Linked DNA regions of Saccharomyces cerevisiae S288C. Changing the gene in region 3 together with the main gene of any one other region gives a genetic interaction. Each region holds a gene or a part of one and is shown on either strand. Other genes may lie near its edges.

The links.
Region 1: mutations in TOR2 (region 3) and TGS1 together harm fitness more than expected from each alone (negative genetic interaction), as found in Saccharomyces cerevisiae (3 studies listed by BioGRID).
Region 2: of TOR2 (region 3) and RHO2, extra expression of one rescues a mutant of the other (dosage rescue), as found in Saccharomyces cerevisiae (3 studies listed by BioGRID).

What each region holds. Positions count from the first base shown.
Region 1 is NC_001148.4:252,769-256,357, reverse strand, and holds TGS1 (RNA methyltransferase), read right to left. Parts: upstream 1,545-3,589; coding exon 597-1,544; downstream 1-596. Other genes in the region: pheromone-regulated protein PRM4, read left to right, coding at 1-445; AIM44 (Aim44p), read left to right, coding at 2,048-3,589. UniProt on the Saccharomyces cerevisiae protein: Catalyzes the two serial methylation steps for the conversion of the 7-monomethylguanosine (m(7)G) caps of snRNAs and snoRNAs to a 2,2,7-trimethylguanosine (m(2,2,7)G) cap structure.
Region 2 is NC_001146.8:454,819-457,742, reverse strand, and holds RHO2 (Rho family GTPase RHO2), read right to left. Parts: upstream 1,179-2,924; coding exon 600-1,178; downstream 1-599. Other genes in the region: TOP2 (DNA topoisomerase 2), read right to left, coding at 1-39; NST1 (Nst1p), read right to left, coding at 1,613-2,924.
Region 3 is NC_001143.9:61,538-65,299, forward strand, and holds the start of TOR2 (phosphatidylinositol kinase-related protein kinase TOR2), read right to left. Parts: upstream 1,823-3,762; coding exon 1-1,822. Other genes in the region: MNN4 (Mnn4p), read right to left, coding at 2,393-3,762. UniProt on the Saccharomyces cerevisiae protein: Phosphatidylinositol 3-kinase homolog, component of both TORC1 and TORC2. TORC1 regulates multiple cellular processes to control cell growth in response to environmental signals. Nutrient limitation and environmental stress signals cause inactivation of TORC1.

The DNA.
Region 1 (3,589 bases), on a different chromosome or scaffold from region 3:
TCCACGGTCATCTTCTCTGGCCTTGCAGAAAAACTGCGATCACAAAAAATTCGACCCTAGAACAGATTTTCTAGATATAATAAGAACCTCTCCAGCGGTATTATTCATTAAATCATCACAAGCAGACTCCATTTTCTTAAAAAATCTATTACAAAGAGAATTTGAGATTTCACCCGAATTGGCCACTGTTGATTTGGAAAAACACTCTCATGGCTATGAATTAGAAAAGTATATCAAACAAAATAAACTAAATATCGATACTAGTGCTGCCTTGGAATCCATTCAGTCGCCTTATTTATTTTTGAATGGTATTTCCGTGATAAATCGTGGAATGGTGAGAGATATAATCGAACCTCATTCGAAGGGATTGCTACTACCTCTTCTAAAGTCTGAAGCGCGTGGCAACTTGCTGGTAGAAAAAAAAGACATCCCTTCTAATTCTTAATTTGTTATCACTCCTATCGACGAGCAGCCGCAGCTAAAAGAACGTTTTAATTATTCCCAAATTCACGTAAGCGATCCTCTTTATGTGCTATATATACATTCATAACATAGTCATTGCATTTTCTATCATACGATTCAACTTGAACAAGTGTTTAACCATTTACGTCGTAAATGTCTACAGTATTATCTTTGGTCGTTGTTGTGGATTCATGCTTTTTTCTTTTCGAGAGCTCTTCGTTTTCAGAACTCAGCTCTTCCTTTTCGGACGACTCCCTTCGACTATTCTCCGTACTTGCTGGTTCGTAGTTAAAAAAGCATTCCCCCCACATGCAAAATATTCCTTTCATATATCCATTCTCCTTTACATATAATACTTTACATTTGGCAAATGGACCTAGTACTTTCCTCGTAGCTCGAGAAAGCTGGTTCAAATCAGAGTTCCTTGGCAAAAACATAATCACATTAGGGCTTAGTTTAAGAAAACTTTTCAACATCTTGGTAATCCCCATAGGCTTTAGATGTTGCTCTAAGTCATACACATCGTTTCTTAAGTATTCTGGACCACCCCACGGGGGTGATCCAAATACACAGTCGTACTTTATTTTGGAAAGTTTCTGCTTAGAGACTAGCTTTTTCCAGGATCCCCGCTTCAGCCATATTCTGTCGTCCACACCGTAGCTTTGGGCGTTTTTCGCAGTACAATATATGTGTTCAATACTGTAGTCCACTCCATAGACGTAAGGAAATTGCATGGCAAATTGTATGGTGTTCCCGCCCCCACCACAGAAAACATCCAGTATTCTTTCGGCATTTGGCATGCATGCCTTAACAAAATTTGCCAGGAAGCAGGCAATTCTTTCGGGCGTCACACTGAACCACAGCTCATCAGTCATATATATCGACGCCGAATCTATCTTTGAAAACAATCTACGCCTATTTTTCCAGTATTTGAAAAGTTTACCATTTTTCAACGGTTTTGATGATTCTATCTTATAGGCATCATTGTTCAATAATTTGATCAGAGTTCTAAAGTTGGAATGATGTTTTCTTTTGCGTGCCGCATGTTTTATTTTCGAAGCATGAATAAATGTCCTTCCCATCACTTCAGTTAAATCAACAAAAATTTTTTCTTCTACTTCTGTCTGTTGCCCCCACAACACGGTATATAATATGGGCAATCAATACAACGAAAAACTTACTCGCTGTTTGCGGAATAACTCACTTCCCCTTCATATAGTTTGGTGCGATGCCTTAGAATTTTTCATACATTGTTTTCATGTGGAAAATATTCAAAAAAAGCGATGGCTGGCGAAGATAAAAAAAAGGCTGCTCCAGCCATTCATTACACAGGCAATTCAATATTTCGGTTAGTAAGATAAAGAAGTCGATATGCCTATCCTTAAACATGTTCAACTGGGATAACCAGATTGCTGGGCTTTCAGCAGGTCATCAATTCTTGTACAAATATGTTGTATATATAGATTTAAGTGCTTGATAATTCGGTTGACAACTTAACGGCTTAACAAGTAAAACAAGAACAATTAACTTAACAATAGTGCTCAAATAAATTTGGCTTATTATCACAACAAATATATCATACGGAATGATCATCAGAGCTCCAATAAGGACAAAAACCAAGTCGTTTAGAGGCGATCAAATGGATTTTAAATTCCCGTCTAACGAAAGTTTACCAAGAGGAACGCTAGAAGAGTACCATTTGAATAATCATCATCTTTTAAATGATGTGTTTGCAGCAGAAAATGGAGTTTCTCGCGATGAAGACGGAAACTCTCAAACATTATCAGACTATACATCCACTTCCAATACAAATACAAATTCCGGTTATTCATCAAATGGATACTATTCATTTGCTAACATTTCTGACAATACTACGTCTTCACCACGTATTGTAATCAATCAAAATGAAACCGCTAGATTAACTTCCTCAGACTCGAACAAAAGTGACTTTTTTGCTTCTCATGACTTCCCAGGAAATGACTCTCTTCATTATAGCAGCTCAAATGTAGTTAAAAACCAGTTACATTCAATGGAAGCTATTCCAGAGGGAAACATAACTGGCTCAATCTCAACGGCATTCCAGACTATCCCAACAGCAGATAATGTTTCCTACGATATCGCGCCGTCATCAGCATCATCGTTATTACCAAGGAAATCGACATCTAAAAGCGCCATTCTGCCGTCGACCCAAGAAGCCAAACCGATGACCAAATTAAATATGGAAAAGGATATAAAAACTATCGAATTAAACAATAGCGTAGTACCGAAACCTAAAAAAAAGCTAAACAGAGTTCCGACCATAAGACGAGTTGAATCCTCGAGGTTTTCCAATTCCAGGTATAGTTCAAGTGTCAGCAGTAAATCAAGTAGCAGTCGTTGTTCTCTAAAACGATCAAAAGCTATTAGATGTAAGGGCGGACTCTTATATTATTTCACCTCATTGGGAATCAAGATAAAGAAAAAGTTACGGAAATTACGGCTAGTTTTAAGAAGAAGACTGTTTTCATATAATGTTCAAAAGGTCCCCTCCGCCACGAATTCCAAAACCACTAAATCTAAAGCAAACATTAACAACAAGTCAAAAAAAAGAGGGACGAACCTAGTCAACAAAAACAGCAACTCTACTCCGCGTCAAAAAAAATCGCAGAGATACGTCTCTAATTTACAACGGTCGATCTCATCAAAATCTTTAGTACCTGTATTGGCTCCACAAAAAAAGACTAAACCTTTGACAGTTGATACGAAATTTAAAGCAAACCATCCCCAATCTGAAGATTCCAAAGTTGGATCAAACACCCCAAGGAGCCCTTTGGTAAGCTATACTCCATCATTGAGAAGAACAAATTCCTCTATTAGAAGGGCTGCATCCATCCTAACCGCATCTGCCACTATGACACCGGCAAATAATAAAAACTCCTTCATTTCTGTACCGGATAATGTTAGTCATGCCGTCACTCGCAACAGCAGCATGTACTCGAGGTCAAGATTGGTAAGGTCAAAACCATCGACGGCCCTAAATGCAATTGCAAGACAGCCATCAATTGTGGTAGAAAATAAAGTTATTCCGTTATCCATGAATCGATATTCTATTAAAGAGGAAGACGAATATGTAATTGATACTAGTTCT
Region 2 (2,924 bases), on a different chromosome or scaffold from region 3:
CTGATATTTATCAGAGGCGCTTACCGGTTCAGTTGACATGGTTAGCCGTGCTGGTCGTTATAAACTCCTTTAACTGAAACAGAAAGTTAAAATTGTCGTGGTTTGCTCTACGACGTGGTTGGATTATATGAAAGATGATCTCCTCTTTTCTTTTCTTTTTGTCTCCTTCGGCAATTCAATAATATGTTTACATTATACTGAAAAAAAAAAGACGCGTCCTACTGGCGCGTCTTTCACTCATCGCCTCGTAAGGAATTCGAATACAAATAGCGTAAATAAGTAAATAAGTATATAAACGAAAAATAATCAAACTAGGCAGTTCCGTTTAGCTCATCGGCGCAGTACCTTGAGCTATGGTTTGATGTGCCATTTTCTTATATCCGTCGGAAATTTTGCTTCTGGTAAAGGCTCTCGAATAAGAATCTGTAGGACATTAACGAACAAACATATCGAATGGGTTTGTGTTTTATACATGCACTATCGATAAGCCTTTTTAACTTATTCCATTATATCTATGAAATTTGATTAAAATTATAATACGGTATTGTTTTTCCCTCCCTTGCTAAAAAGATAATGTATCATTTCAGTGTAAGTTTTTTTTATAAAATTATGCAACAGTTAGCCCCTGGTTCCTTCTTCATAAGCAAACTGGTTCTTGTAGCTACTTCAAAGACATCATCCACACCCTCACCAGTCAGTGCACTACATTCCATGTATTTCTTGGCCCCAATGGCCCTTGCAACTTGTTTTGCATCTTCAATGGGAACCATTTCATCGGTAGCATTCTCTTTAAAATGGGCTTCTTGCCTCAAATCTTTTTTCAAGCCTACAAGAACGATTGGTGCGTCAGGACAATATCGTAATGCCTCATCCGCCCATTTCGTCCTTGCGTTAATTAGTGATTCAAAATTGTCTACAGCAAACCCAATTAATATTATATCTGCTTTTGAATATGAGAATGGACGTAAACGTTCATATTCCTCTTGTCCCGCTGTATCCCAGAGCGTTAAGGACACTTTTATTCCGTCAACTCTGCAATCAGTGACATAATTCTCGAACACTGTCGGATGATATTGTTCAGGGAATTTTCCTAATGTAAATACATATAGTAAAGAGGTCTTGCCACAAGCACCATCACCAATAATAACAAGTTTCCTTCTAACGGCCTTTTCAGACATAGTACGGGATCAAAAGCACAACCAAAGCAGAACGTTTCAGCAATTGATGTCTGCACACAAATCGTTTACAGCGGTATGCAAGGGCAGTTTAATTAAGACTTAATCTGGGGACTTTTGGTTCAAATTATCAGAATAACTACCTTTGGAGAGTTGCGCTTTGAATAATTGTTGTTGAACAATTGATATATGTTATACCTAAAAAAGAGTGTACCGAAGTCTATTATCATATTCACATTCCTGCGAAAAATGGAAATTAAATGCCGGGTAAGATGTATGGGGTGTCGCAGCCTCACCTCTAAAGCCACGACGGTAAGAAAAACCGACGCGTGGCTCACATCGAGTAGAGAGATGTACGATTGTTTAGTGTCTCTTCTGAAATTTCGTCGAATTATGTATGTATGTAAATATTTTTGGCCCTGCGTACCGGAGCAAATTTAAGACGTTTGCGTAGTTGAAGAGGCAATTGGAAAACTAGCCCTTGTGGAGGTATGAGGCCTTGACGTAAATGGTGTAGCAGTTGGATCGTTCAATCCACTAAAGAGTTGATTCAGCAACCCCTTTGAGTGGCCAGCGGGAGTTTGTCTCGCAAATCGAACGTGGGTAATGGATCCATTGTTATCAGTAAAGAATTCGCAATTGTAGGCTCCTTGCATGCTTATCAATTTGTTGATAAACGTCGAGTAATCCAAGTTAAGTCCTACTAAATTTTGGAATAGTGTCCCGATAGCAATGTAGGGGTTTAAACTATCTTGTGGGGAAATAGCTAAATAAGTATTGTAGATGCTATCCAGAATGTGGCTTTCATCCACTCCACTCGAAATTTGAGGGGATTGAAGGACGTTGCTAGTCAAATATGGTGAATTGTATTGACTGTTACTAGACCAGATATTTGATGCCATGAACGCAGGGCTATCTTGCGCAGTACTAGTTATATTGCGACCGGAAAGCTCGGATTTATTCATCATCGGAGTGGTGCTGCTGTCCCAGATAGAAGTTCGATTTGGAAACGATTCAACGCTTCCTAATGTAGGTGCGAGCAGCATACCGCTTTGTATACTGCTGTTGTTAAAGTTTCCTGCAGTCGACGGTCCCGAAAATGAGCTTTTTTGATCATTCCACACAGAACGCTGTGATGGGGGGAATCCTGATGATGAAAGTGATGTATCTGCGAACCCGGAAGAAGAAAGCATGCTAGTTAAAGTGTTCAACTCGTCGGTAAACGATTTACGGTGAGTACCACCATTAGGTAGTCCAAAAGATGGCATTGTAGCTTGAGGACTAGATTTATGGGCTTGTGATTCCATTTCTGAAGTTTGAATAACCGGTGGTTTACATGTAGGATTTATGGACATTGTATTTGTCAGACCACCCCAAGATGATAAACCAAAGTCATTTGGCAATAGCTTAGTTGGCGATGAATTATTATGCATCAATAGACTTGTATTTTCCAGAGTTTGTGAGTTCATTAAATAGTTGTTTTCAGTCTGTAAAGAAGATTTTGTAGCCAAGTCTAACGCATTCGGAATAGTTGTAGTTCCAAAATGGTTGTTTTGATTACCTGGCTGTGGCAAGTGTGATTGTTCCATAGCAGGCATCTGGTTGTTAGTTGAAGGAAGAAGTAGATCATGAACGTTAAAGCCTGTGGGTGAAACTGGTTTGGATGCAGCCACGCTATTAACCATTTTAAGTATTTCATCGTTGATACTGCAACTATTATCCTCTTGGTAGTTAGTCATGTTGGGATGT
Region 3 (3,762 bases):
ACGAATCCTCATGCTCAATGTAAGAAATGGTTATAAGCCTAACAAACTCCGTCAAGGAATATTGATGATGAATTAGTTGCAGCATTTTAAAACACTGAATCAAAATTTGGGCATCTGTAATATCGTCATTAGATTCACCAGTTTTTTTCATGAAACTTTGGTTTCTTGATTTACGAGCCTTTTCAATGGAAAATTGATTATTAAAATCGTATTGGTTTGATTGAATAAATTTTTCACCAGATAAGGATATCGACAGTAAATTTAGTATCCTCGAATTAACGGTAGATTCCAAAGAGGGTATTTTCTCGTTAAGGATCATTAAAGTCTCCTGCATATGGTCGGACATTGGACAGTTTAACATCAAATTAAGAAGATCTTTGTTCAAGTGCTTAGCAAAAGCTGGGCCCAAAGCACAAGCTAATTTACCAATGCAATAAAATAAATCCTTCTCGAATTGTTTTCTAACTTTGAATTTCGTTCTTAAGCCTTCCCTAATATTATCCAGAATAAGTGTCATATAGGGTGAAATGCTCGAACCAACTTCAAATGCAATATCACCTATAGAAACTAATATAAAAGGTTTATCCGAATTATTTGCAGCATTCATATCGATGTTCTTCAAATATCTTAAATAATGAACCATTATCCTATCGAGATATTTCTTTGTGAAAATGGCAGGGTCAAAAGCAGCTAAAAGAGGTAAAATAGCATAAACTTCTCTCCTTATAACATCAAATTTATATTCCTTGTACTTCATAGTAGATTTGTAAATATCATCATATTTATCCCTGAGATAAGGTGCTTTCAAGCTGAGTAATTCTCGAAATACCAACAGAGTAGCATGCACTGAATCATTCGTATTGAGACTTAAGCCATGTGTACAACCTTGAAATAATCTTTGAAACCACTGTTTTCCCAAAGCAGGGTCTCTATCCTGAATAATAGTAAGACATTTACCCAATGCCACTGCGGCATCTAATCGTATAATTAACTTTGCATCCCTTAATGGCACCCAAATATTGTCTAAGATAGAGTTAACGTAAGGGTATAAAAGATAGGGTGAATTGTCTGCTAATGCCTTTATGATTAATAGCGCAGCATGTCTCCTGTATTCCAACTTAGAGCTCGATGAGTTATTATCTGCTGTCAGAGTAAGCCAATCAATGCAAGTTCTGACCTCAAATTCGACGAAATCTGATGTTAATGTACCACCTGGCACGGTCAATCTACCTAAGGTGTTAGCCGCTAATCTCATAACTTCAATGTCACTGGATGGAATTAAAACACGTAAATAGTTCGCCAGTCTTGAAGTTTGGTTTGGCAGCTCCTCTGTACTCAGGTAGAATGAGATCAGAGTATCAACAGCAAGAATACCACCTATCTTCTCACTTGAAGTAAACCCGTGAATAAGTTCAAATATCTTATTGTTTAAACTGTTGCTAAACCTTTGAAATTGCTCAGCAGATACTTCCCTTGCTAATGAGGTCAAAGTAGTGCTTAATTCATTAGCGCCAGAGGCTCGTTCTTGTGGCACATCGCTTTTAAGTTTATCAAAAATCAAATTTAAAGTAGAAAATGTTGTATCTAGTTCTGAATCTACAAAGGATATTTTACCAATATGACCAGCAGAACCAGTGATCACTCTACCAGAGTCATTGGGCCCATTGTGATTGGAATCTGTGTTTGAAGTAGTTGACATCTCATCATCGTGGGAGTGCGATTTGTGTGTAAGTTTCTTTCTTGTTCTGTGTTTGCCTTCGGCCCTTTGTCGTAAAGACAATAAGTTAGGTGGCGTGGTGTATTTGTTAATGTATTTATTCATTTTTCATATGGGGAAAGTAAAGATCAGAAATCTCTTTGAGAAAGATAACTATTTGATCTTAATGACTATGCTCTTTATGCACCCGGTATATTTTCCCTTTCTACTGCTCCTAATCTACCTGTAAATAAATACAAGTAAAGCTCAGTTAAGGAAGTGATTGGTGTCACGATGATAAAAATTGGTCTTTCCTACTGTCATTACATTTCTTCCAATTTTAATTGCTGCCATATATGTCAGTCTCTATTCAAACATATTCAGTGCTTAAAAAGGAATATCCGGGTAAATATTCTGACATCGCCCAAGAAATATACGATATAACTTAAAGAAAAGAGTTGTAGTAAGCTAATAGCATTAAGATTAAATGTATGTTTGATTAATTGCAATATCATGATGTTATAGAGTAACGTGGTATAATTACCACGATTCCGTCGAATTGTTTGCCACTTATCACTGGCGCCAAAATGCAGCAGTATGTAAAAAATGACGGTAATAAATATATAATACAAATGCATAGAGGAAAGGCTATAGAAATGAAGAGATTCATGAATTTTCAGTCAGGTTCTCCGACTTTTAATTGCTGTGCCCCTCCTCCTGCTTCTTTTTTTCCTCTTCTTCGTTCTTCTTCTTTTCTTCCTCTTCCTGCTTCTTCTTTTCTTCATCTTCATTCTTCTTGTTTTTCTCTTCCTGCTTCTTTTTTTCCTCTTCTTCGTTCTTCTTCTTTTCTTCATCTTCATTCTTCTTATTTTCTTCATCTTCATTCTTCATCTTTTCTCCTTCTTCCTGCTTCTTCTTCTCTTCTTCTTCCTTCTTCTTTTTCTCCTCTTCCTCCTGCTTCTTCTTTTCTTCTTCTTCCTTCTTTTTCTTCTCTTCTTCTTCCTTCTTTTTCTTCTCTTCCTCTTCCTTCTTTTTCTTTTCTTCTTCTTCCTTCTTCTTCTTTTCCTCTTCTTCCTTCTTCTTCTTCTCCTCTTCCTCCTTCTTCTTCTTCTCCCTCCGCTTTCTTTCTTCAAGTAACTTGGCATAAGCATAGTCCTCGTATACAATAATAGGGTCCTTATCAAACATTTGAATACCCTTTCTGTTAACGTCGGATAAAGTTGGCGCAAAAAGGTCTAAACCATATGAATTTAAATCCAAAAAGGAGTTGCTACTAAAGTTTAAATTTGATTTAAAATCCACAGGATTTACTTCAACAGTATTAGCAGGAGTATAATCTTCTGTGTTATCATCTAGAGTTGTTCCAGTTTCATCAAAAGTAATGTTGAAAAGTGAAAAATTCCTGTATTTCAAACTTTCGGACAGATCAATAATTTTTCCGACATATTCTTCATGAACAATCTTGGTAACTTGATCTAATGTAGTCTGGTTCATAGATTTTGATAAATCCTTCCACATAGCTTTTTCATAACCAAAAAGAAATGGGTCCTTTGCAGGGGAGCTTAACTTAGGAGCAACATTAATGCGCAATTGATGTAATAATTTCTTTTTTTCAATAAATGTCAGGTTTTGGCAGTATTGAATTTCCAATTCCTTTTGCCTATATGCAGTGACATTGAAGGAATTGTACAAGTTAGTAAATACCTCGATAAAGCCAGCTTTTGGAATATTTTTATAAATTAAGCGAACATCATCCATGGATAGGTTTTTGAAAGAGTATTCAGAGACTTTGTTGGAATCAAAAAGTTTCGACTCAAATTTCGTAGACGATATTTCTTTCAAGAGGTTCGGATTCCATGAATTAATACTGGGGATGTTTGGATACCATGAATTAATATTACTGCATTTCTTTAACCCGTCATAGTCGAACCAAAATCTAAATTCGGGCAAATAAGCAGTATTTTTGTAAGCATCAAATGCATATCTATCAGGTACATGATATTCATTGTGCAAGCAGTAGGTATGTCTGTGAGGAATCAACGCTGGCACACCATGGAAAACAGTAT